Linked DNA regions of Lonchura striata. The protein of the gene in region 3 purifies or fractionates together with the protein of the main gene of each other region. This does not show direct contact. Links are inferred from orthologs where the notes say so. Each region holds a gene or a part of one and is shown on either strand. Other genes may lie near its edges. The genes, in order: ITGB1, GIT2, PXN and ARHGEF7.

What was found.
Region 1: the proteins of PXN (region 3) and ITGB1 purify together in Homo sapiens (affinity purification with western blotting; 3 studies listed by BioGRID and IntAct, with this or other methods). This does not show direct contact. The link is inferred for Lonchura striata from reciprocal best matches to the Homo sapiens genes PXN and ITGB1.
Region 2: the proteins of PXN (region 3) and GIT2 purify together in Homo sapiens (co-immunoprecipitation; 3 studies listed by BioGRID and IntAct, with this or other methods). This does not show direct contact. The link is inferred for Lonchura striata from reciprocal best matches to the Homo sapiens genes PXN and GIT2.
Region 4: the proteins of PXN (region 3) and ARHGEF7 purify together in Homo sapiens (affinity purification with mass spectrometry; 3 studies listed by BioGRID and IntAct, with this or other methods). This does not show direct contact. The link is inferred for Lonchura striata from reciprocal best matches to the Homo sapiens genes PXN and ARHGEF7.

Annotation. Positions count from the first base shown.
Region 1 is NC_134603.1:142,822,772-142,830,679, forward strand, and holds the start of ITGB1 (integrin beta-1), read right to left. Parts: upstream 3,014-7,908; 5' UTR 2,864-3,013; coding exon 2,855-2,863; intron 1-2,854.
Region 2 is NC_134620.1:11,019,788-11,026,930, reverse strand, and holds the start of GIT2 (ARF GTPase-activating protein GIT2), read right to left. Parts: upstream 3,013-7,143; 5' UTR 2,954-3,012; coding exon 2,902-2,953; intron 1-2,901. Other genes in the region: ANKRD13A (ankyrin repeat domain-containing protein 13A), read left to right, coding at 3,815-3,910, 5,944-6,076, 6,188-6,312, 6,758-6,803. UniProt on the Homo sapiens protein: GTPase-activating protein for ADP ribosylation factor family members, including ARF1.
Region 3 is NC_134620.1:4,910,889-4,918,153, reverse strand, and holds the start of PXN (paxillin), read right to left. Parts: upstream 3,010-7,265; 5' UTR 2,912-3,009; coding exon 2,899-2,911; intron 1-2,898. UniProt on the Homo sapiens protein: Cytoskeletal protein involved in actin-membrane attachment at sites of cell adhesion to the extracellular matrix (focal adhesion). Recruits other proteins such as TRIM15 to focal adhesion.
Region 4 is NC_134604.1:92,628,974-92,636,601, reverse strand, and holds the start of ARHGEF7 (rho guanine nucleotide exchange factor 7), read left to right. Parts: upstream 1-4,628; 5' UTR 4,629-4,762; coding exon 4,763-4,927; intron 4,928-7,628. UniProt on the Homo sapiens protein: Acts as a RAC1 guanine nucleotide exchange factor (GEF) and can induce membrane ruffling. Functions in cell migration, attachment and cell spreading. Promotes targeting of RAC1 to focal adhesions. May function as a positive regulator of apoptosis.

The DNA.
Region 1 (7,908 bases), on a different chromosome or scaffold from region 3:
TGAGGAGGAAGAGAAAGATCAGGTATACCAGTGGCCAGCAAGCTCCATCCAGCCTTCCTCCACATATCCACTCTCCACACCACGTGAGGAGAACTACCAGAGAAAGTAGCACAGTCACACATCCACCTCCTGTGCAGCAGTGACAGGGACACAAGCAAAGGCTGCACCTGCATCATGAGCAGGTCCACACTAAAGACACTCAGGCCTCGGACCATGTGCAAGAGAGGAGCAACAGGGACTCTGCAAGGCTGTCCACTAGAAGGAAAGGGAGCCTCATGCAGAACTAGAGCCTTTACTTACCAAAAGGGTCCCATCAAGACAAAGTACTTAACAGCCTGCTGAGCAATCACAGCTGCAGTACCCTGTCTCAGTACCAAGAGCCACAGCCAAGCACGAAGCCTGCAGCAGACTGATGAGAAGCTGGCTAAGTGTGCATCACATCACTCAGCTAAATCGAGACTGGGTGGAAAGGCAGGCATGACAACTATTTACAAACAACTGACGGGCACTCATACCAGCAGCAGCAAGGGAATTATATTCAGGGCAAGGGAGACCACAGCATGTGCCCACCCCATGTGTGCACGGCTCTCCCCAAGTTCGCCTTTCTGCTACCCCAGTTATCTACTTCCTGAGCTGCTGCTACAGCAAACAAGCTTTTTTCATATCTGAACTACAGCAGAACTACCCAATGAGAGGTAGAGAGAGGATGGTTTAGAGAGAGGAATGAAATCATGAATCAGGAAGAAAGAACAGCAGGAAAAGTTCTCAGACAGTTTTTTTTCAGCTTTGGGAATCACTTCCCAAAGGAAGCGGTGTAAGGCTAACCGCTTGAGTCATTTAAAATACTCAAGACAAAACACTAAAATTCTGCACTCCCATCAAAAATTCATGCACATTCTTAGAGCAACAAGCATCCCTCCAAATCAGTCCTTTACAAGGGTGGGCATTACTGGGGACATGGTACAGATCAGACAACTGAACAGAGAGAACAGAATGAGCTCCCTGGCTGCACCCACAGAGAACAGCGGAGTTGTAACTGCTGACATTTCATTTTTAAATAAATATGGTTCATTTATCATGTGGCTGGCAAACAGATACAGCACTTCGCAGCTCCAACTTTGGTTAAGGTAAGATTATGCATGCCTGTCAGCTTTTAACCTTTCAGCTGAAACATCTCTGAAAAGGACAAAAGTTGAAGGTGTTCACATCTTAAACTTGTCTTGTCTTGCCAATCTATTGCCAATGGCTCACTGTTTTTGCAATCCTTATAAATAGAGCCTTAGGTGAGCTTGCAAAATGCTACTTAATCATTACCCAGAGGCAAGTAATATTTTTTTGTGACAGAGAATGAATCATTGGTTTCATCGCTGGGACGGATGTGGACAATGAATGTCTTTGCTACTCTTAGTCTTGTTTAATTTAGTCTAATTTACATCTTTTTAGTAGTATAATACTACTTTAAAAAGGCCCATACAAACAACCAAGAACAACAAAATCCCCTCACTGCTACCAAGCTGCCTCATTTCTCAAAACTTTTCTCACACTGCCACCATCACCTACCAAATGATCTGTGTGCCAGGAGTACAAGTTATTTAAATCTGTTTCCACATACATAACGTCCTGCTTAATATCAACACCTCAGCACACAAGGAGCATTGACTGTGAGTGGTTCTACTAATCTAAATGGAGACAATCGTTACTCCTAAAGGTTTGTGTATCTTGGCAAGAATAGAACTGTAGCAGTGATGGCAAATCTACCAGAAAAATCAACATTTTCACCCAACAGCTATGTGCACATGTGCTGGCATGAATGGACTGTTGTATTCTATCAAGGACAAATGAAGACGCAAACATGAACGCTCATCAACTTCTTTTCATAAACAGTCACAAAAAGCTACCTAATGAGTTTAACAGGCAGACAGATACTTATTCCATAACATAAACACATCTGACATGGGCCTGTGAGTCAGAATGAATTTCTCATTGCTCCACGTTTCCTTCCAACAACCAGTAACTGAAGGCAATAATAGGAGACAAAGCATTGCACTACTGCTGTAAGATTTTTCAGAAATCCCCATGTGGGACATGGCATAGAGGCCTCACATTCCCACTCCATCCCGACACGAGTTTATAGCAGGCTACAGAGGCTCAGAGCCAGCTGGACGGCTCGAGCAGCCAAAGGCTGCACTGCGACCATCCCGTCATTCAAACCGCGCACACGCCGCTCTCAGCGCTCGCTTTCTGCAGGTATGTGCGGGACAATCCCCCGGGTACTCGAGTTCCCGCACTGCCTCACTCCTTTCGTTCCCATTCCCGTAACTCCGGCGCCCGCTTCCCGCGGGAGGCACCTTCCCCCTGCGGACGCCCGCCCTCGCCCGACTCCCGGGAAGCCGCCCGAAACTTTCCCAGCCGAGCGCTGCCCCCGTCCCGGGCACCGCCGGCGGGAGGCGGCGGCCGGCACGGGGCACGGCACAGGCACGGGGCTCCGGCGCCGCCCGGGGTAGAGCGCTGCCGCCCCGCCGCCGGGGCAGGGCCGGCCCCGGGCGGACAAAGGCCCGGCCGGCCCCGGCGGCACGGGAGGCCCGCGGCCGCCGTCCCGCCGCCACAGGAAGCCGCAGGCTGGGCCCGGCACCTTCCCGCCCACAGCGCCGGGCGGGCACGGCGGGAGGCGGCGCCCCCTCCTCCGCCCGGGCCGGCGCCGAGGCACCGCACACGGGGCGGCGGCGGCTCCCGGCGCGGGAAGCGGCGCCCGCAGCCGCCCGGAGCCCGCCCGAAGCGCCGAGCCCCGGGGCGGCCGCAGGCACCGCTCATCTCGCTCCCGGCCGGCTGCGACCCCCGCCCGTCCTCCCGTTACCTCGGCCATGGCTCCGGGCAGCGGGCGCGCTCCGGCCCGCCCGGCTCGCTGCGGCGGCGTCCGGGGCTGGGCTGGGCAGGGCTGGGCGCGGCGGGACGCCCGGGCTCGCTCCTCGCTGGCTGCCCGCCGCCGCCTGCTCGGAGCTGCTGCGGGAGCCCGGCCCGCGGGGGAGGGGAGGGGAGGTCCGCGCTCCGCGCTGCCCGCCCCGGAAACACATTCCTCCCCGCTGCCGTCAAGCGGGCCGGGGAGGCGTCTGCGGCGCGGCGGCAGGGACGGGAGAGCCGTGCCTGAGGCGGGGCTCGGTGCCCGCTTCCCTCCCGCTTCCATCCGTGCCGCCCGCCAGCGCCTTATTTGGCGGGGTTTGCCGGCGGCTCGGCCGGCCCCGGGCTGGGCCGGTGGGCGGGGACGGGCCGGGGCTGCCCCGCGGCCCGCTCGCTCCCGGCGGTGCGGAAAGGCTGTTCGACCCCAGCCCTTTTCCAGAGCTCTTCCCCTGCTCCGCTCCCTGCCTGGTTCCACGCGCGGTCACAGCCGAGGGGATCCCTGCCCCTCTTGCTGGCAGCTGCTGCCAAGAGCAGTGGAAGTCACTGAGTGATGAGTGCGTTTGTCCGGTGCTACACTCGCTCCGAGCTAAAAAGTCGCTTTCCCCGAATACCTCGGCCGGAGCCTGCTGGTGTTAGGAGCATGCTCTTGGTATTTTAAAGTGCCCCTTAAAATAAGTACTTGGGAAATTACCGATTAAAAAAAAGAAAATGAAAAAGCGTGCCTTTCGACACCTTATTGAAGGTAAAGTGTTGGGAAACAAGCTATCAACTCACAGCTCAGAGCTCTAAGCACTGTCTTTATGTGTGGCTACTGGAGCTTGAGTCAGTTCTTGGTTTTGTATGGTTAACTTAACCAGCAGTGCTGCGACTTGTTTATAATTTTAATCACTTTTCCCCTGCTTGCTTTCTAGCTGCATTTTGGAATAAGAAAGGAATGATGTTTCTAGTTTACTCAAGTGTGGCCTGTGATTCAACCCCGTGTTCCACTTGGGCAGTGCAGTGGTTTAGGGCGCAGTCTCCTAACAGCTGTTTTAGCAGAAGCTTTTAGTGCTGGTACAGCTGTAATTGCAAAACAGTTCTAGTGGTGTTGGAAAATGAGACTGAAATGACAGACTACTGCTCCAAGCAGCCCCATCAAAAGCAAGCACTGGATAAATGAAATGGTAGTTAAACAACTTTGACACTCAGAGATAAGGACAGCAGGAACTATATGTTTCAACAGGTAAATTAATATGTAATATTAATAGTGCCAGGAAAAATGAAAGCCATCAGAAAGCCAAAGTTTTAAAAATTGTAAAAATTAATGCAAAGTAAAAGCAAATGCCGGAGGGATAGTGGTCTGCAAAAAAATGTGGGAAACTTGAGTACTGGGCGATAAAAATTAGTTTTATGCAAGGTATTCTTCTCTGCTTCTTTATTGCAGAGAGAAAAAGCACATCTGGTGCTAATTATGACAAGGTTGTGGATTTTGATCCTTGTATGGGCCATTCACTTAAAAGATGGACTCGATGATCCTTGTGGGTTTCTTCTAACTCAGAATATTCTGTGATTTTGCCAAAATATGCAAATAGTGAGCAGCTGTCCACTATACTGTACTTCAAAGAAGTGGTGGAAAGATGTGCTACTGAGATCAATTTGGCTCTGAAGACTAAATAAAACTGCTCAACAGACTGGTTCAAATGCTACCCAATGCTCTGCTCAGATCTTATTGTGTCAAGTAGCCAGTGGCTGGCTGTGCTGTGCAATAGGAAATCAACAGGAAAAAGTCTCACAAAATGGCTGAAAAAAAATCCACTGAATTATTTGGCTGCTTTCTGGTCTCCTTTGGAGAGCACAGATGGGTATGAAAATCATGAGTTATTTTCCAACACTTGTGAAGTACTAAAGATGCCAGAAAAAAGAAAAAAAAAAAGAGCTGGAGGTATCTGAGCCAGTAGACACAATTATAGGTGATGTCAAAATGTTTAATGTAGTGTTTCTGTACTGCAGTGTACATGACATCTGGGAGAGTGAGCAGTTTTGCACAGGAGGGCTCAAGAAAAGATGGGTTTTCATGGACTGAGTGGGAAGCTGGGAAGTGTTTGGTTAATTCTTATCTTGCAGATACAGATTTTATAACTTTTACACAAACACAAATCCCAAACCAGGTTTTGATGTGTCCAGTGCTGCTTTTGTAAAGAAGCCAGCTGTGTAAATTGGGGGTGCCCAGCTGCAGCTCCAGGGCTGGAGCTGAATATCCCTGTGCCAGGCAGCTCTATTGCAATCCCTCCCAGTGCCTGGCTGGGAACCTCTGGAGTGAGGGGGCCACTTGGGTACCTCAGGAGCCACTGCCTCCAGAGAAGCAGGAACTGGTTGGTAGGAGAAATTGCAGCATCTCCTAACCAGTTATCAGGGTATTTCCTTGGCTGCAGTTTCCCGTTTGCCACATGTTGCTGCCAAGCTGCTGAACTCTGACTTACTAAAGCCCACACAGCCAGGGAGCTGTCAGCCTGTTCTCCAGCATCTTCTTCACTCCTGCACCTTGCAAAGGGTTTAGAGGGAGATATTTTTCAACTGGGGCCTCAGTGATAAGAAACACAGGATGTGTTTTAATGTGCATGGTTTGCGCATTAATACCCAAATGCAAATGCCTCTCATCAGGGCACCCATTAGGCAACTTTGTAATCTCACCAGCCACTAAAACTTCTATCTTTACTTCTTTATAGTGTGCTAGGTATCTCGCTCACCTCTGCCCCAGGGAGCGATAATTTATCTGTACTGCTCCACTTCCCCAACAAACTTTGTTACTGACAGCAGAGTACTTTCCCTTTCCACCCCTCTTCTTTTCCTTCCCTGCCTCTTCAAAATGCTTCTACCCTACTAGATAGATAAAGGGTGGGAGAGAAAAGAGGAAGTCAAAGTCATTTTCCCAAGGATAGCAATGAAGCCAGCAAAAGAAAGCAGGTCTCCTGGGAACACATCAGACTGCAGCCACCTGGGCTGAGCTGGCTGCGGGAGCACCCAGTTTTCCTGGCCTGACCTTGGAGCAGAGCAGCAGCAGCTTCAGCCGCTGTTTTATTCCAGAAGCAGCTGTGCAGTCACCAAGGGGCACAGTGAGCACTGAGACCTCACTGGCAACTGGTCAGCACTGGGCTCTGGCTTCCAGTGTGGAGGATGAGGAGGTGTTAGGGCTTGGACACAAGATTCATAGAGAAAGTATTATTAGAAGGGTCACTTAGTACAGGAAGTGATGGTGCTAAACGGTTGTGTCATTGCTTTAGATAACAGCCACTATTTGGCTCCTCATGAGGAATGAGCAGCACTTCTCTGCAGGCAGCCTGTCAGACCTGTACAGTGTGCCCATGGTATGGAATGCTGTGTTTACACTGGAGCCATGTTCTCCTGCTCCACACAAGGAGTGAAGTGAGTCACAAATGTTCAGCCAGGAGATTGCCAGAGATTGTATCCTGTGGGCAAAGGTTTGCTTTGAAGGATTGTCTGCCTGCTGTTCATGGGAGCAATGTGCAGCACTTAGGTGCAATAGAGCTGATATATTAACACCTGGTTTATGATCAGTGCTTAGATCTCTGCTTTGTTCAATCGACAGTCCTGTGTTTAACATGAGCCTGAAAAGGTCAGAGTCCACCAAGCCCTTCCTTCAGCTCACCAGCATTTAAAAAGCAACTTGTGGCTGTCAGGAAAGAAGAAAGGGGAGGTCACCATGGCCCTTCTGGTGGGACTCTGCCCTTGCTGGCACAGAGCAGGCTGCTGGAGCAGAGGGACTGGGGGACAGCTTTTGTTACAGCTGCACTGTGCCTTCTGATGCTTCCTCTGACTCATTTTCTGCACTTCCTTCAGCTGAAGAGCTGCTCTTCCCTCTTGTGTGTATGTTTGGGTAGGCTGAGCTGTTGCTGTTAAAATCCCTGCTGCCATTAGCATACACATTCCTTCTCATTTGCCACATGGACTTAAATCTTCCAAGGCACTTTTGTGGGACTCCTATGTCATTGTGAAGAGGGTCTGTTTTATGCAGAAATTCTATAAGATATTTTGATCCTCAATAAGCAAGGCAGGAATCCTTTTTCCTCCTTGGGCATGAACTACAAGTTGCTCCTATGTTCCAAAGTAAAGAAGTGAGCAGGAGTTAAGTGAAGAGACTAAAGTCTTTGAGATTTATGTTCAAGCACTCATACTCATGATAACACAGGGCAGAGAACTTCTGCACCAGCTCCTTTTGTTGCTTGAAATGAATAGTGTTTTCTAGAGAACTAGATCTTAAAACTTCAGGCTTGAAGATATTTTAGTGTTTAATTACCCAAGGAAAAATGCCTTTGGGAGATTAAAAATATCCCCAAAGGATGGTAATTCTGAATGCACAGTAAGTTTCTGAGATTCAGCAGTTATTAATTCTTGCCATGTGCTGCTTTTATTCTGTGAGACTCTGAGATCACGTGCCTGCATATTCTGTTCCCTCCTTCTCAGAGGATTCCCACTGTTTAGACAAGCAGCTCATGCTCATTCAGGGGAAAAATGAATTCCACTGCCCCCAAAGAAATGAGCAAGGACGATTGCAAGAGCTTTCCTTGAAGAATTCTTCAGCTTCAATTTTGCCCAGAGGGACATTCTGCAACATTTTAAGCTCAATGCAGTAGTTGTTAGTGCATAAAAATTACTGAAATTTAGACTTTTACAGAGGAGTAGAAGGATAGAAATGAGAAAGGAGGATTTTGGTCTCAGCTGCAGAAATATTTGGAGATGGTAGCAGTCTGCTAGTACTGAGAGTCTGTCATGAGAGAAGGAATAAGGACAGATTTAATGTTCATTGATATATAGGGGAAAGAGGAGCTATGTGGAGAGCAGAACATTTTAAGCAAGACTAGTAGGCAAGAAAAAACCACAAAAATAGTCTGAAGTAAATAAATAGTAATGGTACCACTGGGAAAAGAGATTTGGACAAATGGAATGACTATTGTATGAGGTGGTTGGCTGTTCTAGTAGAAAACAATGGCAAAAAAGACAGAATATTCTTTTCTA
Region 2 (7,143 bases), about 6.1 Mb from region 3:
GAGCCAAATTAAAGCAGGTGAGACAAAAAAATAATCCATTTGTTAAAGAACAAATTACAACAAGCACTTAGAACTCCTTGTTAAATCATTCCATTATTTAACAATTTTGATTTCCATGAAGAAAAAGAACAGCAATAGAGTGAGATGCATTCATGGCAACCTAATCACCCAAACTGAGGCAGCCTTCCAGATTAATGAGCCTGATTCCTTCTTGTTAGAGACAACCTCATCACACATGGATGGGATTCTTAGGGATCCTTTCCCTTGCCCATTCCCAGGCTGTTTGTGAGCATTGCTCTGCATTATCAACAGTCAGCACTGGGGGTTTTCTTTATCTCCACCTCAACACCAAACACCCTTGGATATTTCAGGTTTAAATTTAATGCAATGAAGTATCTGTCCTGGAATTTGAGTAATTTTTAAGAGAGACCTAATTATGGACTCGATCAGAATATGTTCAAGCAAGTACCAAAATACACAGGATCCCACAATCACTGAGGTTGAAAGAGACCCCTGAGTCCAACCTGTGACTGATCATCCCCTTGTCACCAGCCCAGAGCACTGAGTGCCATGTCCAGCTCTTCCTTGGACACCTCCAGGGATGGGGACTCCAAACCTCCCTGGGCAGCTCCTTCCAGTCCCTGACCACCCCTTCCATGAGGAAATTCCTCCTGGTGCCCAACCTGACCCTCCCCTGGCACAGTTTGATGCACTTTCTTCTCTCCTGTCCCTGTTCCCTGGGAGCAGAGCCTGCCCCTCACCCAGGCTGTCCCATCCTGTCAGGAGTTGTGCAGAGCCACAAGGTCCCTCCTGAGCCTCCTTTGCTCCAGGCTGAGCCCCTTTAGCTGCCCCTTCTCCATCTCCATTCCCTTTCCTGGACATGCTCCAGCTCCTCCATATCTGTCCTGGAGCGAGGGGCCCGGAGCTGGACAAAGCAATTGAGGGTCCTCAGTGTCCAGCTCAGGGGTGGTCACAGCCTGGCCCTGCTGCCCACGCTGGTTTTGATACAAAGGACAATTGGGGAGAAGCTGCAGGGCCGGGCAGGCGCTTTCAGGAACCTGCAGGGTGGTTCAAAACAGGAAGTTTGAGATGAAGACAAACCCGGCCCAGGGTCTGAGAACTGAGCTCCTGCCTCGGGATAGGAAGTGCAGCACAAGAGCTCCTGTAAGAGTCAAAGAAAACCCTCCACGCTCTGCCCTGGCAGAGACAAAGGGGCATTGATGAGGTTCCAGGGGAAGCAGTAATTAATGCAGGTGCCAGGCACACCCGCCCTGGTGCAAAGGCTGCAGCCACCAGGTCTCCTGACACAGCCCCACGCAGCCATGGACAAACCCTCTGGTTTTGCTAAAGGAAAGGGTTGATTTGTTTTATTTACCAAAAGATTAAATGAAGATTCCTTTATGTATGTAGATAAGCCACTGGATTCTAATAAATAAGTAAAGATTTCTTCATATATGTGGACAAGCCAGCGGGTTTCTAGTAAGTAAGTAAAGAGCTGGAAGTGCTCTAATGTCACGATAAAGGCTGGATTACAGGATTACCAGACAGTGATTCTGATGCCCCAAGGAGCTTAAGGAACACAGTTCACACAGCTTTATCTCCAACTCACAACACCCCTGATGTGAGCAAGCATAGATAGGCTACCTTGTGAGATAGGGACAATCACCTGCCTGAGAGATGCCAGCTGCATTTATTGTAAAACCAAATTTCTACAGGGGTACAAGCAGAATCCCAGACTGGTTTGGGTTGGAGGGAGCTTAAAGCTCACCCAGTGCCAATCCCTACCATGGGCAGGGACACCTTCCATTATCCCAACCCCATCCAACCTGGCCTTGGCCACTTCCAGGGATGGAGCAACTTCTCTGGGCAACCTGTGCCAGGGCCTCACTACCCTCACAGGGAAGACTTCCTTCTGTAAAAAGAAGAATGTCACTTCCTGGAAGTTCATTTGGAATTTTTATCATTTTTTAAAACATAACTCAGATTGAATAAAAGTTGTTCTCCCTTTTCCCACATCCTATCTTCTGCCAATTCAAGTGTTATCTACATTACACAGACATTGATATTACACATACAATAATAAGGTATTATTACATCAGTGTTTTAATTCATTTCACTATGTGCATAACCTGCCCAGAACACAAACAGCAAAAACTAAAGAGCCAGAAAAGACACAGACAGAGCTGACAAAATAAAGCAGGACAGTTTTAGATACAAGAGCTGCAGAACTACAGACGGTCAGGAGATGCAACAGCTTTTCTGAACACCACCTCCACTTCCATATGCTCCCAAACTGATCTGCAGCGGCATACGCGCCAGCCCAAGGCAGACCCTGCTCCCTGAGCATCTCCAGACACCTCAGCACAACTTTCCTTGGAAGTGTGGGCCGTGGGACAAATCCCAGTTTACCTCCCCAATGCCCCTGGGAACAGGGACAGGGGTGAAAACGCAGCCCCCCAAAAACAGCCCTGCTCCTTTCCAGTGACACATTCCCAACCCACGCCCTGCCCGTGACTGAAGGTGGATTCCTGTCAGCTTCCCTCCTTCCTAGGCTGGGGAGCTCCGCACTTCCCGCCGCCGGAGCCCTCCGGGATGCTCCCGGAGCTCCGCGTGCCCCGGGCTCGGGAGGGGCGGCGGTGCCGGACACCCGGACACGGAGTTCCATCCCAGCCCTGCAAGTGTCCCAGGCCAGGCTGGACGCTGTCGGAGCAGCCCGGGCTCCTGGAAGCCGCGCTGCCCACGGGCTTTGAGCTGCCTTCCCACCCAAACCATCCCGCTCCATCACAGGTGCAGCGCTCCGGGGCGGGGACGCCCCCGGGCCGGCGGCGCCCCCGCGGCCCCCGGTTCCAGAGGGGTCCGCGGGACGAGCCCGCGCGGTGCCGCTGGCGGTGCGGTGCCTACCCTGAGCGCTGCAGTCGGCGCAGACCTCGCTGCTCCTCAGGCGCTTCGCCATCGCGGGACCGGCGGCAGCGGCGGCAGCGGGGCCGGTAACGGGCCCCGCCAGCCCCGGGCCGGCCCCGCGCATGCGCGACGAGACCCCCTCTGCCGCTCCGCGTGTCGCCCGTGCCGCCATCTTTACTCCTGGCACGGGGGCCTGCCTTCAAACTGAGCTCCGGCTCAGCGGCGCGGCACCGAGCGCTCCCGCCCGGGCCCGCCTGCCCGCTGCGCCCTCTCGGCGGGGTTATGGGAGAGATGTGGCTTCGGAAGCCTGCTGGGAGAGGCCGCTGTGCAGCAAGCCCTGCCCTTACCCGCCATGGCGGGCGGGCGAGCCAAACCAAGGCCGGGCGAAGGCGGGGTGAGAGCGGTGAGCGCACCCCATGCGGGGAAGGCAATGGGACAGCTGCGGGCGGGACGTTCCATCCGTCCGCCCTCAGAGGGGGAGGGGGAGCGGCTTCCGCTTTCCGTGCGGTTGTCGGTGGCGGTAGGAGTGCGGGGCACCGCGAGGAAACCCCCCTGCTCCGGGCGCGCTGTGGTCGGTGCCAGCCGTCCCCGGAGGGACGGGGAAGAGGGGCCGGGACGGCTGAGGGGGAGCGGGGCGAGCCCGGGAGCGGCGCCGAGCGGACTCCGGGAGGAGACCCGGGGGCTGCCAGGGGCACCAGCAGCAGCAGGGGAGACCCCCGCGCTGGGGTTTTGCATGGGGCTCCCTTCGGAGAGGGCTGAACGGTTCCTGGGGGGTCGTGGCCCGCACACGCACACCTGGGCCAGGTGGGTGCCCGCAGAGACCAGAAGCTGAAGGGCTCAGGGCTTGAGTGACGTGGGAGCATCCAGAGAGGAGAGAGTGAGGGTCCCCCCCGGCTCGCAGGTGTGTGCTGGGATGAGCTCCCCCGGCGGGGCCGGCAGCGCCTTCCCCCTGCACGTCCTGGTGTGGAATAACGACTACCGGCGGCTGGACGAGGAGCTGCGGGACCAGGTACCGGGGCTCGGGGGCTGCTGGGGGGCTGCTGGCCCTGGCTCGCTGCTGTGCCAGGGAGGATCACCCTGGTGGCGCTGCTTGAGGGATCCCTGCACTCGGTTACCTGTTTATTTGTGGTGTGGGAGTGATGCGAGAAGGTGTGGGAATATATTTTTATGTCAGATACTAAACGTTGGCTTCCCATCTGTAAAGCTTTGCTCTGAGCGTTGCTCTTTAGGGGAGAGCTCAAGGAGGGCAGCTGTGATGGATATTAATTTATTTATTAAAGCAATAAATAGTGTTTGTCTTAATGGGAAGTCAACGTGCAGCAAAGGTAGCTGGTGCTACTGGACATCAAACCAAGCCCTCACTTTGCTGAGCACCATCAGTTCTTACAGGTTTGTCGCTGCCCAAGAATGAGGACAGAGTTTTTATATGGGTTGGAATGTTTTCAGCATCTCTGGTAAAAAAAAAAAAAAATAGAAATGGATCATTGTTTAGTGCTGGAGAGCAGCAAACACAAAGCTGTCCCCTCTCTGGGACATGATGACGTAAGGAAACAGCCTGAAAGCTGCAGCAGAGCTTGAGCAGCAAAAATCCTCCTGGCTGAGCTGCTGTGCAAAAGCTCTGACGGGCTAGAGCGAGGTACAGTTAATGAGCAGAGCTGATTAATTAATTATACCTGACACCACAAGTACGTGAGCCCAAGACCGGCTGTGCCACCTCCTGTCACCTGCAGCTCTAACGGTGCACCTGACTTACTAATTCCTGCTTAGAGCATGTTCCTGCCCTGGTTTGGGAGAATCTTTGGAATGCAGTCACTTTTTACCTCATTTATATCACCTTATGCCTTAACAAAATCTTTAACCTCACTGGCACGTTGCTCCTGTGTGTTTACTTCTGACATCTGTGAGAGTTTATGGTTAAATAGGGATCACTCAGCAGCTCCCACCTGTGGAATGCTGCTTCCTCCCTCCATTCCCTGTGGAAGCCAGCAGCGTGTGAAGATGGACTGTGTCTCTTCCTTTACCTGCTTTTAAACACCTTTTTTTTCTTTTTTTTTTTTTTTTTTTTAAGTATTCCAAAGATCTGGTTCCCCCTGCTGCTTTGGGATGAGCTTCCTGCTGCTGGAGGGACCTGTGAAGGAATCAAAGGCACTTCCCAGCTGTGGCTGGAGTGGCAAATGGGGTGGGGCATGTGGGGACCAGGGAACAGCAACAAACAGTGGGGAGGGACCCTTGGAGCTCTTTAGAGCTGCAGGAGGTGGAGAAACAAATTAATTAATGTTCCACCCCAGAAGTGAAGATGCTTTAAAGTGAAGCTTTCCCACTCTCTGTGAGATATTCTGACTTGAAGCTGTCAGATAACGCTGTTAACGTGCATAATAACCTTCCTTTCTCATTCTGCTATTGACTTTCCCCTTTTCCTTTAGTTATAGATGCTCTTCTGTTTCAAATCTCTAAGCTAATAGTGAAAAATGTGTAAGGTATGAGTATGTTGTGCTTGCATGTTTTGGATATTTGTGCCTGTGTAGTTTATTTTTTACTTTAGTGACTTGCAGAGAATGCCCTCACTCCTCATTGTGCTGTGTGTGTGCTTTGTGAAACACCATCTGCTTCTGTCCTTTCCAAAAGTGCTGTCCAAAAGCCGTGTTGTATGTCCTGTTGCCTTTTTTTTCCCCTTTCCCCCCCATTTTGTTGTACAGTTTAAACTCTCTGTGGGGTCTCAGGCTCTTGGCTGTCCGTGGGGTGATGCACACGGACAGAACTCCTCCTGAGCCTTCTGGGGGGAGCCAGAGGGGAAATAATGACAGAAAAAGCAATGAAAAGCATCAACAAGAACTCCTGTCCTACAGATTTTGTGTCATTTCATAGGCCCCGTTCTGCTTCTCCTTTTATTCACGTGGGGAAGCAAGGCAGCCCCGCAGAAGGGCGGTGCAGGAGAGTTTGGGAGTGGATCCATGGGAATGGCAGGGAATGCTGACTCCTGGATGAGCCCTGTGTTTGTGCAGGCTCTGATGAGCTCTGTTACTCTCTCTTGGACACTGACAGGATGTTGACCAGCGGGATCCACGGGGCAGGACCTTGCTGCACTTGGCTGTTTCCTTGGGTTACATCGAATCTGCCAAGGTCCTCCTGCAGCACAAGGCAGATGTGACCAAGGAGAACGCGCAGGGATGGACGGGTAAGGAACAACCTGGGGTGTCAGTCTTTCAGTAGCAGCTGTTCTGTGTTTTTATATGGAATTTTGGTCAGCAAGCAAAGTGACACGAGGCTGTGGCTGGCTTTCTTTCAGTTTTGCATGAGGCTGTCAGCACAGGGGATCCAGAGATGGTCCAGCTGATCCTGCAGCATCGGGACTACCAGCAGACCTCCATGACCCTCGGAGGAGTTCCCGAGTTACTGCAGAAGATTAACGAGGTAAGGATTTATTGAAGTGTAAACTCTCATTCTAGACTGAAATCTCTGCTTGAATACTCATTCAAGTAGTTCAGTTAACTATTGCAATCAGCTGGGTAATTGTGTTTTGTTCCAACCTGCATATTCCGTAGTCCTGAAGGACATGGAGGCTTTTCCTTGACTTTATTTAAATCCTTTGTCATGTACTCCAGCATTGGAGGCTGAATTTTGAAGGCACTGCTGCCTCTCCAGTAAAACAAGGAAGAACAGCTCCCCAGAAAGCAGCAGGGGCAGGGCAGTGCCTGTTGTGTTTGCAACTTTCAATTTCAGTTTTAGCATTGGCTAATCATTTCTCCAGTTTTGCTCTCTTTTTTTTTTTTTCCTTTATCTAAAATGTTCACAGGAAATGCTGCACTGACTGTCAAACTATTTCATGAAGTACTCATCAGGTGTTTTCCTTCTGCAGACTCCTGACTTTTATGTGGAAATGAAATGGGAGTTCACTAGCTGGGGTAAGGATCCTGCTCCTTGTTACCAATTTCAAGCTGTAAAAATGAGTTAGAAATGTCCCACAGTGCAGGCAGGGAGATATCCGCTCCCTGCAATCTTCCTCTTCTCCATCTCAAAATGACCTCTTGTGCTTTTGTTGCACAATTATTCTTTGTTTCCTGTGTGTCTGGTTGGTTGGGTTTTGGTAGTGGAGAATTTAGCTGTTGTTGCTGTTGCCTGGAGACTTTTCTTGGGTTTTTTTTTACCTGTCCCTGGCCATCCACAACTGATCGTGTGTCATCTATGGATTCACTGGTTGTTTGAGGAAGTACCTGCTTTTCCCTGAAAGGAATGAACATTAGG
Region 3 (7,265 bases):
AAGCAAATTTAAAGTTTCTCTTCTCCTACTCCTGTCACCATAAATACATAACAGTTTACACAAATTAGGTTTCTTCCTCTGCAACAAGCAAATCCTAATGGATCTGTTCCTTCATACTACTTAGACAAGGTAGCACCACCAAACCAGTAACCCAACATCTCAGTGCCTCAGCTTGTCTGAAGCAAGTATGTGTGGATGATCACTTGTGTGCTGGAAGCACAGGCTGTGCTTTGGCAATCCCCTGAAAGGGACAAGAGCCCCAAATCTGGGTTCTCACTCTTTAGGACAAAGCTGTGCCAATTTACAGCACTGCAGGACAGCAAATTCATTCAGCAAACTTCCTGTCAAACTCCAAGCACATCCGCAAAATGTGCTTCCTCAGAGAGGCTGCAGGGAGACGATCTGGACAAGCCTGGCCAGCTGCTCTCCTCCCCCTTCCCACCACGGGCTGTTCTAGTTTACATCCAGCCCAGCACTGTGTGTCCTGTGCCACAGAGGCTCCTCCAGAACAACAGGGTGCACAGCTCCAGCCTGCAGAAAGTTTCCTGTGGGAGCTTCTTCAACACTGGGGGAGGGGGTAAAAAGGGAACAAAGATTTTTCTCAACTCCAAATGAATCCTCAAAGCAAGACAAATCCATTTTCATATGTTTCATAAACTCTCCAGTCCAAGAACAAAACTGAGATACTTCTGGACCTCCATTTTACATTGGACATGTACAGACTGATCAAATCCTCCAGCTCTAGGAAAAAGAAGGAGATTTTTGACAACAGCAAGGAGTTAAGAACAGACACACCAATGGTCTCTGTTAGGGGTTCACTCATGCCCAGCAAGGCCCTTCACTCACTGCTCATTTCTGTGCCACACAGATTCAGAAGCGAGGTATGGAAGTATCTGAGCTGATTTAACTTGACATCAACTCTGCACCTACAAGTCCCAGTTCAATATCAAACTCCTTTTGGGCCAAAACTGTCCCTGGAAGCAGAGCAGCTTTGCCCACATGGCAGTGTGCCTGAACCAACAAGTCCTGCCTAACCAGCTTGACTCTGGACAGGGCCAGTGCAGACGTCTGTATCCATGGCACAGTTAATCCACAACTCAGATAATCCACCCATAGATAATGAGGAAAGAAAAACAAACAACTCTCACTTGAGTTCGAAAGTCTGACTTATTTCAGGGGAGTTGTATCAGCACAGCACAGTTCCATTATGTGTGATCCCAAGGTGAATGACTTTAGAGCAGTAAGTGAGCCATTTTGGGGCTAACAATGATTTGCAGAGGAAAAACAGCTGGTGTGCTTTTCCATGGTGAATTCTGTACACCACAGAAAAGCTTAGAGAGAGAAAAGGTCACACTTTTTTGTTCAGCTGCCTACTGTTAATTAGATCTTGTCCAGTCTGAAAGGCTGCACAAAAATTGAGACAGACGCAGTGTAATTAAGACTTGATGAAATCAAGTTGCTCAGATTAGAAGGTCTAACTTTTGGTTGTCCAAATACTCTTCAGAGCTCAGAAAAACAAACCAGGCACAATTTCAGATCTTTTTCACAATTTCTTAGCAGTTCACCTCTAATTCTCCTACAGATGAAAGAAAAAATGTTAAGGGACTGCAGCAGCCTATTCCAACAGCTGGAAAGTCACACTACCACGTTTAGGAATGCAGCTCTTGCAGTGGGCACAGTGAGGCTCCCATGGTTTACTGATGGTGAGACACTAAACTGGCTCTACACTGACCTGTATGCTCACCTTGAAGGGCTACCCATCAAGTCAATACACAGACTGGGTGAATCCTGTTCTGACTAGCAATGCATTCCTGAACATGCTAGGAACTCGCACCAAATCTCCAAGAGATAACCAGAATGAGGGATATGAGAAAAGGTAAACAGAGCTGTCTCCACTTGAACAATAACCATGAAAAGAAGCTGCAGTAGAAATTACTTCTGTTCCCACCAAGAGCTACTTCACTCAAGCAGAAGGTCTCACTCCCCAAGGATGAATCCTCCATGGGCACACCTTTCACCAGAAAGCCACGCAGCAGATGGACTCCTTACCCTCTAAGTTTTATCATTAGCCCAATTCAAAGTCTATTTTCTGAAGGTGTGACCACCAGCTTTATGCCATCACCGTAGTATGAGCTTCCAGGTCCAGAAATAAACCTGCAATTTTCTTGGGACTATATGTCAACAGAACGTCTGGTTTCTATTAAAGGTAGGATGGAAGTAACGGATCACAGCCCCTCCCCAGTGTCTGATTTAATCGGTTTCATAAGCGGAACTCAGTCGTCCTAATGCCTCCCAGAGCACAAGGGATTTTGGCAGATCCACACCCTTTCCGGCTTGGTCCCAAAGGACTCAAATTCTCTAGATCCTTCCCTTGAGACCAGTTGCCTGACATTTCTCCATTACATGGTTTCGGGAAACCGTATAATGCAGCACACCTGGGAGAAGCAGAGGGAGGACGAGGATGAGCTCCAAGCGCGGCTGGGCTCCGCTTATCCCCGCAGGGCTCCCCACTCCATACCCGCGCAAAGTTCAGATCTCGCCCAAGAACAGGCTGGAGAGGCTGCGGCGGGGCAGGGAGGAGATGTTTGCTGAAACCCGAGTACGCCCCACGCTGCTCCGGGCACAGGAGCGCCGGGCGCCCTTCCCGGCCGGGACAGCCACCGCCTGCCCTGGCTGCGGCGGCCCCGGGACAGCCCAGCCGCGGGGCCCGGGCGCGGGGAGCCGGGCCGGCCGGCGCGCTGCGCGGGGAGCGACACGTCCCCGGACGCCGACAGGCGCGGCCCGAGCCCCGCGGCGCCGAGGGGCGCAGCGTGGCCGGCGGGCCGCGGCCGCCGCCGCCCGGGGCGCGGCGGGGAGGCGGCCCCCGCCGCGGGGGAGCCCGCGCGGCTCGGAACTCACCCAAGTCGTCCATGGTGCCGTCGTGCCCGGTGCCGCCGCTGCCGCCGCGCCGGAGCCGCTCCCGCCCCGCGGTGCCGCCGCCGCCTCAGAGCCCGCAACTTTCCCGGCCCGCCCCCGCGCGCGCCCGCCCGCGCGCCCCCGCTGCGCGCGCTGCGCGCCGCCCCCTGCCGGCCGCCGCGGGAGCCGCCGGCCCGGGCGCGGAGCGGGCGCGGGGTCGGGGCCCCGCGAAGCGCCGGGCGGGGCGGCAGCGCCCGGAGCCGCCGCCCGGCGTGTGCCCCGGAGAGGCCTGCCCCGGAGAGGCCTGCCCCGCTCGCCGGCGGCCCCACGCGCGTCCGAGACTGAGCGCGAACGCCACACGAGCCCCGCGCTGCTCCCTGCAGGAGCAGGACCTTCCCCAGAGGAATGTCCCGGGGCAGCGATGCAGCCGCGCTGGGCTGGCTGGGTGGTGCGGGAGAGTTGTGCCCCAAAACCTTCAAACATTTCAGAGCCTCAGCTGAATTACCCCATCCCAGGGAAGCTGGGCAGCAGAAACCTTTCCTGAGCAATTTTCCATACGCTGTGGCCACCATAAAGGAAAGTCACCAGCTACTTCTCTTTTGCTGTGTTCAAAGACTATAAGAGCCCTCCTGGATTTCTCATGTGGTGACCTTGAACCATCATTTCCCACGTGTTTTTCCTTTCAAGCCTCTATAAAACAACTCCAAGGCAGCAAAGTCCTCGCTTTGTCTGAGCCACAGCACAGCTCAACCCTCACCAGAGCTACTGTTTCCCACAGTGCTCCAGCCAAGTTGACATGGCAGTAAATGCAGTTGCTCAGCCCAAATGTCCACTTCTTAATCTGATGAGAGATACACCAAAAAATATCAGTGTGGGAACTGCCGAGGATCCAGGAAACATGACTCTTGTAGCTCTTTTCCTTACAAAATTACTACCGAGTCAGAGAATGTTCCCAGAACTGAACAGCACATGTCCTGTTGTTGAGCTGAGATTACAGAATTGTATTTCCATTAAACAGAGACCGTGAGGTCAGCTGTGAGCAATCTCCAGTGCTGCATTTTTCACTCTCTAGGTACAAACATGCCCAGTTTCCCCTGCTAGCACAAGTCAGACATCATTATTTCCTGTGTTAAGTCATGCTTTAATGGGAATTATCGTTAGGGGGGCAGGGAAATATCTCCTCCCTCATCCCAGCCAATGCTTATGAATAGTCAAAAACCTCCAAGAAATTAATTCCAGCTTTTACTCCAAATACAGTTGTCAGAAAATAATGTCCTTACTGAGATCTAAGTACAACACAAATGTAAGTAAAGATTTCATTGCATGCTTCACTATCCATGCCAAAGATTTCACCTGACATCCCCCTTGCTGGTCTCCCTCAGCAAAATGTAAAACATTATTTGGAGGGACTGTTAAAATTTTCTCAAAATCCATCACTGGCTATACAATGACAACATCAGGATGTGCATCCCCAGGTGGAGCAACATGAACCACTAGCGCTGACTGGTCACAGAGCAGATGTAAAGTCATTAGAAACGAGTCCTTTCCTGGGGTCTGTATGTTTCCTCCACCAACATGTGACAAGCATGTGCCACAAGTTGGGTTGTATTTTTACCTCTGCATAAATAAAGTGCCTACTGTGCTCTGTTCATATTGTAGCCTGGTATGCCATTTTTATTTTCAGCTTCCTACTGTGTCCTTTGGGAGTCTGAAAGTGAATGTAAATCAAGAAAGCAGTTTCTATTGTGTCTCAGGGCTGGAATTAAGTTGTCACAGAACCAGTTAGGGTTGCTCCCACAAGAAATGGTTGTGTCTAAGATGGTCAGTGTTAAAAAAAAAAAAAAAAAAAAAAAAAAAGTAATTGTTTCTAAAGCTTTGCCTATGGCTTCTGCACTGCACTGAAAGTGTTGGTGGGGTGGGAAGGCAGGGCTGTCCCATGAGTGATACTATCCTCTAGACAGCCTGCTTTTAAAAGCAAGCTGCTCACAGCCAGGTGCTGTTTATAACTGAATTATTCACACATTGATATTTCTTACTTAAAATTGCCAGTCCCTAACCCTCCCATGAGAGCTGGGGGAGCAGGGGCAGGTTAAAACCCCAGCTGCCAAGGCGACTTGTCAGTGTTGTGGGCTCAAGCTCTGTCCTTCCCAAAGCCTTGAACTCCTGTTTCCCCATCATCTACCTGTTCTTTGGCTCAGACTCTCCCTGACTCACGGACACCTGCTTGCTACTAGAAATACACAGGCCTTCTTCTTATGCTGTGCCCCGTAGCTGAGACATTTTGATCTACCCTTGTCTTTCACATAAGGTGTAACAAGAAGTTACCACCCCCATTTGCAGATGGGAAACAGGGCTGGGAACTGGAAATGAAGTTAGACAGTGAGTTAACATCAACAAAATGTTGAACTTTAGGGCTTCCTGTCTCCACACAATCCATGTTCAGAGTATTCCTAACTCCACACAATCTGTGTCCAGAGTACTTGCTCAAGGCATCTTTCCCTCTTGTTGAAGAGTCATTTACCAGTTACAGACCAAGTCCCTCAAAGGGCAGCTTAACCCACTGACCACACACAAGACCCTCAGAGTTGATGGATTAACTGTCCTCCTGGGCCCTGTCATTTCAGACTGGCTGCCAAACAGGAGTGATCCAAGCTCATTTCATAATACCAGCGAAGAAAAGCATTGTTATTTTCAATCTGTGTCAGAGAAGAGAAATAAAGCTACACTGGCCTGTGAGGCATGTTTAGAACTTACCTGTGCACTTTCCAGAGAGTGGCTTGAAACTGCAGAGCAATGACAGTGCCTTCATTGCAGTGTGTGCCCTCTGTGCTGTGCCACATGAACATCATGCAAGGGGATTTTGCTCTTTCTTCAGGTGAATGCAAGGAAAAAATTTTCAATCAGAGCTTTGGGCTTCAGGCAATAGCAGTAAATCACAGCATGCAACTCCCACATTCGAGGTTCAACTTCATGTTTGTTGAAAGGATCTGCTACAGCAAAATGAACAAGCTTGGTTTCTGGCATAAGATGTAGGACGTGACTTTGCAATGCAGATTGAAAGCACCACACCAAGGCATTACCACAGACAATTCTGGCAGCAAAGATGAGAAACAATCAAGTGATAAATCCAATACTTATCAATACAGTTCATAAGAATCAAGAAATTACCTGAAGTGTATGACTCACTGCAAACTACATATGCCTTTGCTATTTACCAGTGTGGCTTATTCTGCCAAAGGGTAATGGCATCCCTGTGCTTCAGAGTTTGATTTCAATTGATATTTCTGGCAATAGGAACAAATGGGGGGGACAAAGGCAATCTGTGAGGTTTCACTGTCACTCTTGGTCACTGTTGTGTATAATACCCCAGCATGACTGAATGTTATTTTAAAAAATAATAGTAATTCTTAAGAGACTGATGTTCACTACTAAGCTTTCTGTTCTACCGAAGTTTCAAGCAGCTGCCCAGCTCAAGGTCTAACCGGCAGGGTAGGAGCATCGGGATGGCACACGTGGATCTGGTTCTGTGCCCATACAGAGAATGTCAGAGGCAAGCTGTCAGCACCAGGAGGTACATCTCACTCACACAGAGTGACGGAGAGCAGCTGCTCCCAGCTGCAGCGGAGCCTCAGCGGGGCCAGTGTGCAGTGGTCATTAGTCTCCCTCCGTAGGGTCTGCCTAGCTATTCAATTGCTGCAAATTAGGAAAGGATGCAGTTTACTTATATAATAGGAGTTGACACCAGCAGCTGCTTTTTCCAGAGCAAAGGTTTGTGATTTTTTTGACAATAAGGAGCATTTTTCTATTGCATTTTTTTTTCTTAAAGCAAGTGATGTCAATAAAGAACTGCACACAAAATGGAGTTTACAGTACTTAGTACACTAAGTGTTCTCTAATGGGTTTTAGAGGACTCCTGCAGTTGGGGAAGCACGATTCAGACTTTCACTCCCCCTAGATTCCTCTCTGCCTGTTGAGAGGCTAATCTCCTAAGGATTCTCCTCAGCAAGAGCTACTCCAGAAATCTTTCTACAACACCTAAGCCACTCCACTTCCGTTTTCACTGACCGATTCCTTTTTCAGTAACTGAGAAAAAAAGAAAGGAGCTTTCAACGTAGGAGCGCCCTCATTTTATTAAACCGCGGTCTTAGCGGCAGCAAGCCCTGGCAGCGCTGAAAGAAGAGAAGCCGTATTACCTTCCGTGAGAGCCCCCTCCCGCCGCCAGGTAAAGACCACGCAGCACAATACAATCACCGGAGCTAGTCTTAGTCTATTTTTCACCAGAGTATTCAGTCTCCGTAGAGACTGTCAAAAATTGCCAATGCCGACTATATTTCAAGTCGTCATGGCGGGGTATTGGGAAAAGTTTTCAA
Region 4 (7,628 bases), on a different chromosome or scaffold from region 3:
TTTTATATTCATCTCTGCCAAAAGCAGAGACACTTACTGGTTTCTGAAAGTATAAAGAATGTAGCAGATCAATGCCATTATCCTGAGCTACACTTAGAAGACAAAGGCAGCTCTTGAATTGATGCTCTCGGGAGTGCAGAAGCAGAGCTACATTTTGGGCTACTGCAGACTTGCCAGAGGACTCTCTGTATATTTCTACCTAAAGATCATAGCCAGGGTAAAAGCTACAAAAGCATGAGTGACTGTGATAAAGCTTGTAACACAGGATTGCCTCATCAAAGAAATGCTAACAAAAAAATTTGACTGCTAGGATTAAGATAGCCAAAGACTTGGCAGCAGACTGGACTCTGAGCTCAATCAGAGCATAGTGTCAATAGGCTGCATTGGTTTAAAGTAAAGACATGGTGACAGCATTTCTGCTTTTGGGTAGGCCCTAAGGGCAGTTGCACAGGAGGCAGTAGAGCAAGTGCACTAGATCCTTGAGAGATTTGAGATCTGTGATCAGGGGAAATAAATGAGGGACTTGATCTCTGGGGCATCTCTCGCCCAGCTAAAAGCTCTCATGGTGCTAAGCATCCCTGTTTTCCCTCAAATTCTGTAACAGGTGCCTGCAGCCTCCATGTAAGAAAGTTGTTTAAAAGCACCTTTTTTCTTTGGCTTTGTTTATTTGTTTGTTTGTTTGTTTTTGTTGTTTTTGGGGATGGCATGGACGCTGGTGAATCCATCGCACTGCATTCTGTGATCCCTGTTTGAGAGGCCCAAGCCTGCCTGGGCACTCATGGTGCTGCCCTGGAGCCAAGTACTGCAGTCCCGAGCATCATGCTGCTGTCACCCTTGGTCAAACACCTGCTCTCAGAGTCCTGGATTTGTGTTTCTGCATCAGCACTTTAGCTGCTCTCTGTATGGTACTCATTTATTTATGCTTGATTGACAGACCTCTCAGGACAGAAAAGCTTTTAATCTGTCTATTAAAATACTTCACAACTTGGAAGATAATGAAATAATTTGCCCTCTGTTGTGTTTTGGTATTTTTTTTATTTATTTATTGAGACTTTTACCAGCACCACACAGCTCATTGATCTGCCTTCCCAAATTCACCAACACAATCTTTGGTGTATGGGTTTTAACTGACACCTTCAGCTGACAGGTAGTCAATCAACAGCAGAGAGAGCTGGTGGTATTGAACTTGTGATAGCTGGTTTCAGGAACTGCAAAAGACTAGCTCCTCTACGAGCCTCAAGATTATTTTCAAATGTAGGTTTAAATAGCATGGAAATATATCTCTGAGTTTAACACAGAAGTGTGCTTTGTTGGGGTAAGGCTTTCACTGCAGAGAGATGTAAACCTCCCTAGGCTAAAACTACAGAGATAATTACGTATAGCATGGGAACCCCAGCACAGCAATTGATCCAGTATGACCCCTATATAGCTAATTACAGATTGTCAAGGCAATTTCTGTTCAAGCCGGACCGATAATTAATTAGTTACCTCCACATTGAAATCCTGACCTTGGCTTGGCACAGGGAAAACAGAGACTTGTGTCGAAGCATCTCACTGCTGCCCAGGGACAGGGAGACAAGGTATTAACAGCTGAAAATGGAAAATGGCAAATGGAAGGCTAAAATGAAAGAGTAGCTTTCTTTACCTGTTTTTTCCTTCCTCTCCTGTTCTTCATCCTCCCAAACCAATTGCTCAGGCTAAAAGAATAAATAAAAGCCACATAAGTATAATTGTCTTTTGGAGACTTTCAGTTAAGTCATACTGCAGAACAGAGAAAGTATCTCTGCTGATAACTTTTTGGTCAAATTGCAAACTGGCAATTTATTCCTGCTGTTTTGTCTTTCAACCAGTCACTAATCCGTGACAGAAATTTACTTTCTACCACATGCTTACCTGGTTTCCTTAGTAACTTCTCATGAGAATATGGCAAAAGCTGGGAAAAGACCAAATAAATTGTCAACCACTTAATCTTTATGTATACAAAATTATGTGCTGTTACATCTACTAGATCTCTGCTAAAGCTGCCTGATGCATTTCAGAGAACAATGATTTTTTTCTTGTTCAAAAGAGGTCCAGACAGTATTAAACTGAGACACCTCCCCCTTCCCCTCCTCCCCCACCAAATTCCCCAAATATCAGAATCTTTTTGCTTGTGTAAACAGATTTAAGGTCTGGAAGTTACCTGAACCTACAAGCTTCATATATATATATATCCCTTGTTTATAAAAGTCAGTACCAAAATTACTTTTTCAGCTTTGCATAAATTTAAAATATTTTGCAGGAAAAAAAGTAGTTTAAATCATCCCTCATCCCCTAAAAGAAAGTTGTTAAAATCTATCCCATCTTTCAGAAAGAATTTATACTATTTAAATACTATCAAAATGGATGTTTGAATAAAGATGTCATGAGTTTATGATTTAGAAGCAACAGTGGGATCAGAATCAGGTCATAAGAGAATCAGAACATCTTTAATTGTGAAACAAAGAGGAAGAAGGAGTGCAGACTTACAATAAGTGTATGTATCATTGTTTGTGTTACTTCAAAACTCCCACCATGGCATGGGCTCCACTCGCTAGACAGCACATGCAAAATATCTGTGTGTCCTACAAGGTTTTAGTACAAATGGACAGTACTGGGACATGCAGGAGGAAAGAATAAAACAAGGGAGCTGTGCAGAGAGTTCAGGTGCTTTGCAGTAAATACCTGGTAGGGGAAAGTCTGACAAGAAAGGAATATAGGCAGGGAGTGGCATGCTCCTAAATCTTTTGGGCACTTTAATTTTTTTCCTTTAAAGATCTTGAAATGGTTTCCTGACCTGTGTCAAGCTTCTTTTAGAAGTCTCCAAGCAATCTATCCACATGGCTTTCCAATGGCAAAGAACTGCCATGTTTGTGTTCTTCATAGCTGACAAATCATTGGATCAGAAGCTGTTGTTCAAAATAGATATGGAAGACAGTACAGTTAAGTGCAGAAGAATGATGAGGAGATAGGTGATGAATGTCAGTGATAACCCAGATATTGCTTATCATGAAACCCTTTATGCTTTGCTAAGATCACTATTCTGTGTTGTAATATATGGTTATTTCCATTGTCTTTGGATGGGTTTTCCCACAACATGTCTTGTATCATGTTCTCTGCTATAATCAGCCATGCACTTTTCACCTCGTTCATGTACCCATCACATCTCTCATATAAAAAGTTTCATAAACTCATGCCCATAGTTTTCTATCATGGGCCAGTGCCAGGGAGGTCCCCACTTGCTGCTCATCTTGCTCGGGAAGCTACTGGGGTACCCCTGCTGGGGATGCTGATGTAATGAGCACCTGACCATTGCTGTGTGCATTGTACTTGTTTATCCCATCCTGCTTGAATCCGGGTGGGCATTAATACTGACAGAGGCAAGTCTGCTGCTCTCACCTCGACCAAAAAGCAAGGGGCAAAACAAAAAACAAATTTTGGAAGAGGTATCTACCTGAAATGTGAAATTTAAGAATTTAAGAAAATCTGCACCTATTATGGGTTAGGAGGAGATTGAGTGTTGAAATTAGATTATCTTGTACCAAATTGAAATGCACCTCTGTCTTTCTGGGCTGGCTGGTGATTTGGTAGGAGATTCTGGGTCAAAAGAACCTACCAGAGCTGCTGCTCAGGGACTGTGATGGTGGTGGATGCAGTACGCCAGGCTGGAAGCAGAACAGCAGCGATGAGTTTGGGTTGGCATTGTTGCCTCTGCCTTTGCCTTTTGGAGTAGGCATTTTGCCCCTCAAGGGCGTCAGATGGGGCGAGAAGGGAAAGCAGGGGCTGTGGTGGTATCGCCTCTCCTGGCGTGTGCGAGGCTGATGGCAACAGAGGGACCCTGGGAGCCCACAGCAGCCAGCTCCTAACAAAAAAGAAAATACTGATTGCTCATAGTGTCCCGTCCAAGCAAATCCTTGAGGAACGGCTTTTGTCAGAATAAAAGGCACAGGAGGGCTCTGTTTCAGGTTAGTCTTCACAGTCCTTCTGTGTAGAGTATTTACGCTGGCTTCCCAGGCGGTGCCGCAGACCATCGGGGGGGAAGCTGGCGGGAGGCGCTCGGGGATGGAGCATCCCAGCAGGCGCACGGCGGGGATGGCGCGCACCGGGGCGAGCCCGCGACCCGGCCGCTGGCCCGAGGCTGCAAACGGGTTTCCTTGCAAGGGAACGACGGGCAAAGGCAGAGATCGCGTTACTGCGGCCGGTCGGGCCGGCGCCCGCTGCCGGCGCTCCCAGAGGGAGATGGTCCGAAACCAGTCTCCCGGAGCCTGGCGCCGAAGGCTTGAGGGGGTTCGTTCTCTGCGCGACGGCGCCGTCCGAGGAGGAGATGAGGGGCCGGGGGATCCCGCAACTTTTCCCCGCGGCCGGCGGTGCCCGGCGGCTCCCGCTCCCGCCTCGCTGCGCGCCCGCGGAGGCGCCGCCCGCCCGCTAGGGGGCGCGCGCCGGCCGCCGCTCGGCGCGCGCAGCGGGCGCGGAGCGGTGCGCGGGGCTCCGCGGGCGCGCGGCCCCGCCGCCGCCGCTGCCAGTGATGTCATGGGGCGGCGGCGGCGGCGGCGGCGGCGGCGGGGGGGCGGGGAGGAGGCGGCACTGCAGCTGCATGTGTCTGTAGCGGCGGGGCCGGGGCGTCGTCATCTGCATTCACATGGGGGCGGCGCCGCCGGCCTCCGCCTGAAGCCCCCGCCGGGGGACACACAAAACCCACGCGAGGCGCGGGGCGCCGCGACCCCCGCCCGCCGCCGCCATCGCCATGAATTCGGCGGAGCAGACCGTTACGTGGCTGATCGCCCTGGGCGTGCTGGAGTCGCCCAAAAAGACCATCTCCGACCCCGAGGGCTTCCTTCAGTCCTCCCTGAAGGATGGCGTGGTGCTGTGCCGCCTGCTCGACCGCCTGCTCCCGGGCACCATAGACAAAGTAAGTGCCCGGCGGCCCCCGCCCCGCCGCCCTTTGTGCGGCCGGGCCCGCCGCCCCCGGCCCCGCCCGCGCCGCCCCCCGCTCCGGAGGGGGACCCCGGGCCCGGGGAGGGCGGTGGGGGGCGCGGGGGGCGGAGCGGGGCCGGTCCCCGGCGGGGGAGAGCGGGGAGCGGCAGCCGGGCTGGAGGGGAACCCCCGTGAGGAGCCACTGTTCTGCAAGTGTTGTACGGACGCTCCGCTTCCCAAAGCGGAGTCCCGGCTGTGCATGGGAGATGCATTAATTTTGGAGGGTGGACTATGGACCCTGCCCTGCGTGCCACGAGCCGGCTGCAAACTTATCTACGCAACTGCTGGAGCAGCCGGTGCCTCACCTCGCTTGGGAGGTGATTCAGCTCATCCCTTCCAGCCTCTGAAGGACATTTTAGCGTTTGATGCTTAGTTTTCTTGAAGGCTGCTTAAGCGTTATTTGGGTCCTTTACTGTTCGGTAGCCTGTGGAAAAAAAATCTCCTTTTTTTTTTTTTTTTTTTTTTTTTTTTTTTTGTGCTGAAAAAACGCGTTACAGCTCTAGTTTGTGTTTTGTTTGAAGAAAATGTACTCTGTCAGGTAACTTCTATGTGTTCTGTGTGCGTACATAATTCCCGTCGTCGCTCAGCCAGAGGGAAAAGACAACCAAAGGGGTTTGGTTGTGCCTCAAAACTTGGGACAGTACTGTTGTCTCACCTGATGTTTAGTAACATAGTGCACACAGAGATCCACATATTGACAAAAATCTTTCCTCGTGTGCCAGTCTAAGGTAGTGAAGATTGATGAAGGTCATCTGCTATGATGATGGGATGACTCCTTGCTTGAAAATAACACCGTATTTTTCACCTTTTGCAGAACAGTTGGCAGAGCATTCCACTCGCTGGAGCCTGCTGACAGTGAGCTTTTGTTACCTTTTGTGGCTCTATTTCGAGTAGTTCTCAGACCCACAAAGTTGTAACCAGCGCCTTGAGCTTAGCAGGACACTGGGCTGGGCTGTCCCACTTCGGTTCTTCAGTTTGCCACCCACTGGAGTTGTTATTGTTTTGTGTTGTACATGAAGGTCTTGGCTCTGGACTGGAGTCCCATTCTGCGGATTTAGTAGATCATTCCTGCCTCCCAGATTCACAGGTACATCAGGAGGTGGTACGGGGATGTGGACTCCTCACAGGAGCCCGCAGTGCTCTTGGCGGGTGATGGAAGTGATGAGAGCGGGCACAGTGTGTTGGTGGCTGTGTGAGCGTGGCTAACTCAAGGATCACCATGGTGGCCAGTGGGGACTAGCTGGGACAGCTGAAGCCCCTGCCACTGCTGCTGTCAGCTTTCCCCGCCACCATTTCCCCGTAAGTGGCTGTTCAGGCAGTAGAGCTGAAGAGGATGCCCCTGCTCCTAAAGGGGCTGCAGCTTTGTGGAGGTGGTACATGAGGTGCAAACTGTTGTCCAGTGCACTGGGCTGCAAAGTAGGGCTCCAGAGCAGGTAAATGTCCTGCTCTGCCATTCAGTAAATGTCCTGTTCTGCAATCCAGGGTGGCACGCGTGACATGGGGCTTGGGGTAAGTGGGGGCTCCTCCACCTGACTATCCACTGATTCTGACAGGCTCCGCCCATGCCTCCTTGTCCCCAGACTCTTTTGCCTGGTGGCACCAAGCCCAAGGAGGGTTTTGGGAGCCTTTCCCACACTGCTGCTCCAGGCACGCTTCCTGAGCACATCTTGGACTTTGGGTTCTTAGCTTTAGGGCAGAAAAGGTCTTTCCCCTTTGTGCAGATGTCAAGCCTGGTAAAGTGGGGTCCTGCACTCAATCTGGGAAAGAGGCTCTACCAATAAACAAAAAAGCAGAACAGAAATAAGTGTTACAAGAGTGTTTCCCAACTTAATGTGTTTCTCTGTTACAGTATAGTTTGGGACAGCTCGGTTATTGAATGAGAGACTCTCTTTTTATCTGAGGACCAAACACCTCTCATGTTTGGGTGGGGGTCCCTTCACAGCACAGAGGAAGGTTTACAGAGGCGCGCAGCTCCGCACAGCCAACAACGAGAGCAGCCTGGGTGCGAGGAGCTGCCGGCGGGACTCGCGGTGGCCCTGGCGCTGCAGCAGCGCGGGGCTCGCAGCGGGAGCAGTGCGGGCTGGGCTGGCAGCCAGGCGGGAGGAAGGCTGGCGCCTCGCAGCCTCCCACCTCCCCGAGCTCGCCCCGCGCCGAGCAGGGCGCTGGGACAGGCGGCCGCCCCGGCGTCCCTGCTGCCCCTGTGTGTTTCCTCTGGCTCTGACTTAGTTATAAGTCTGGGGAGAAATAGACATTTTAAAAAATTATTTTAGGAGGATCTTTGGTTTTGTAAGGGTAACTGTTCTTATTTCCCTGGACCATTCACAAAGCACTTTCTAATTCATAGATATGTCTGAGAGACTCACAAACTCATTTTTCCACCTAACTTTGTAAATATTCTTTTTCTGTAGACTCAGAATTTACACCCCATACCTCTTTCACGTTCTCATCTATGTTATGTCTGAGCTGTTTCCGTGTTACTTTATTCTCTTTCTTTGTTTGTTAGTAAACAGACATAAATTTTACATCCTTTATTGTGCCATGGTAGTTTTTCCAAGTCTTTTTGGCTACTACTCTTTGTTACTTTTTTAATACTAAGTGCATTTGAAATATGAGCCTTTTTATTCCTTATTTGCCCC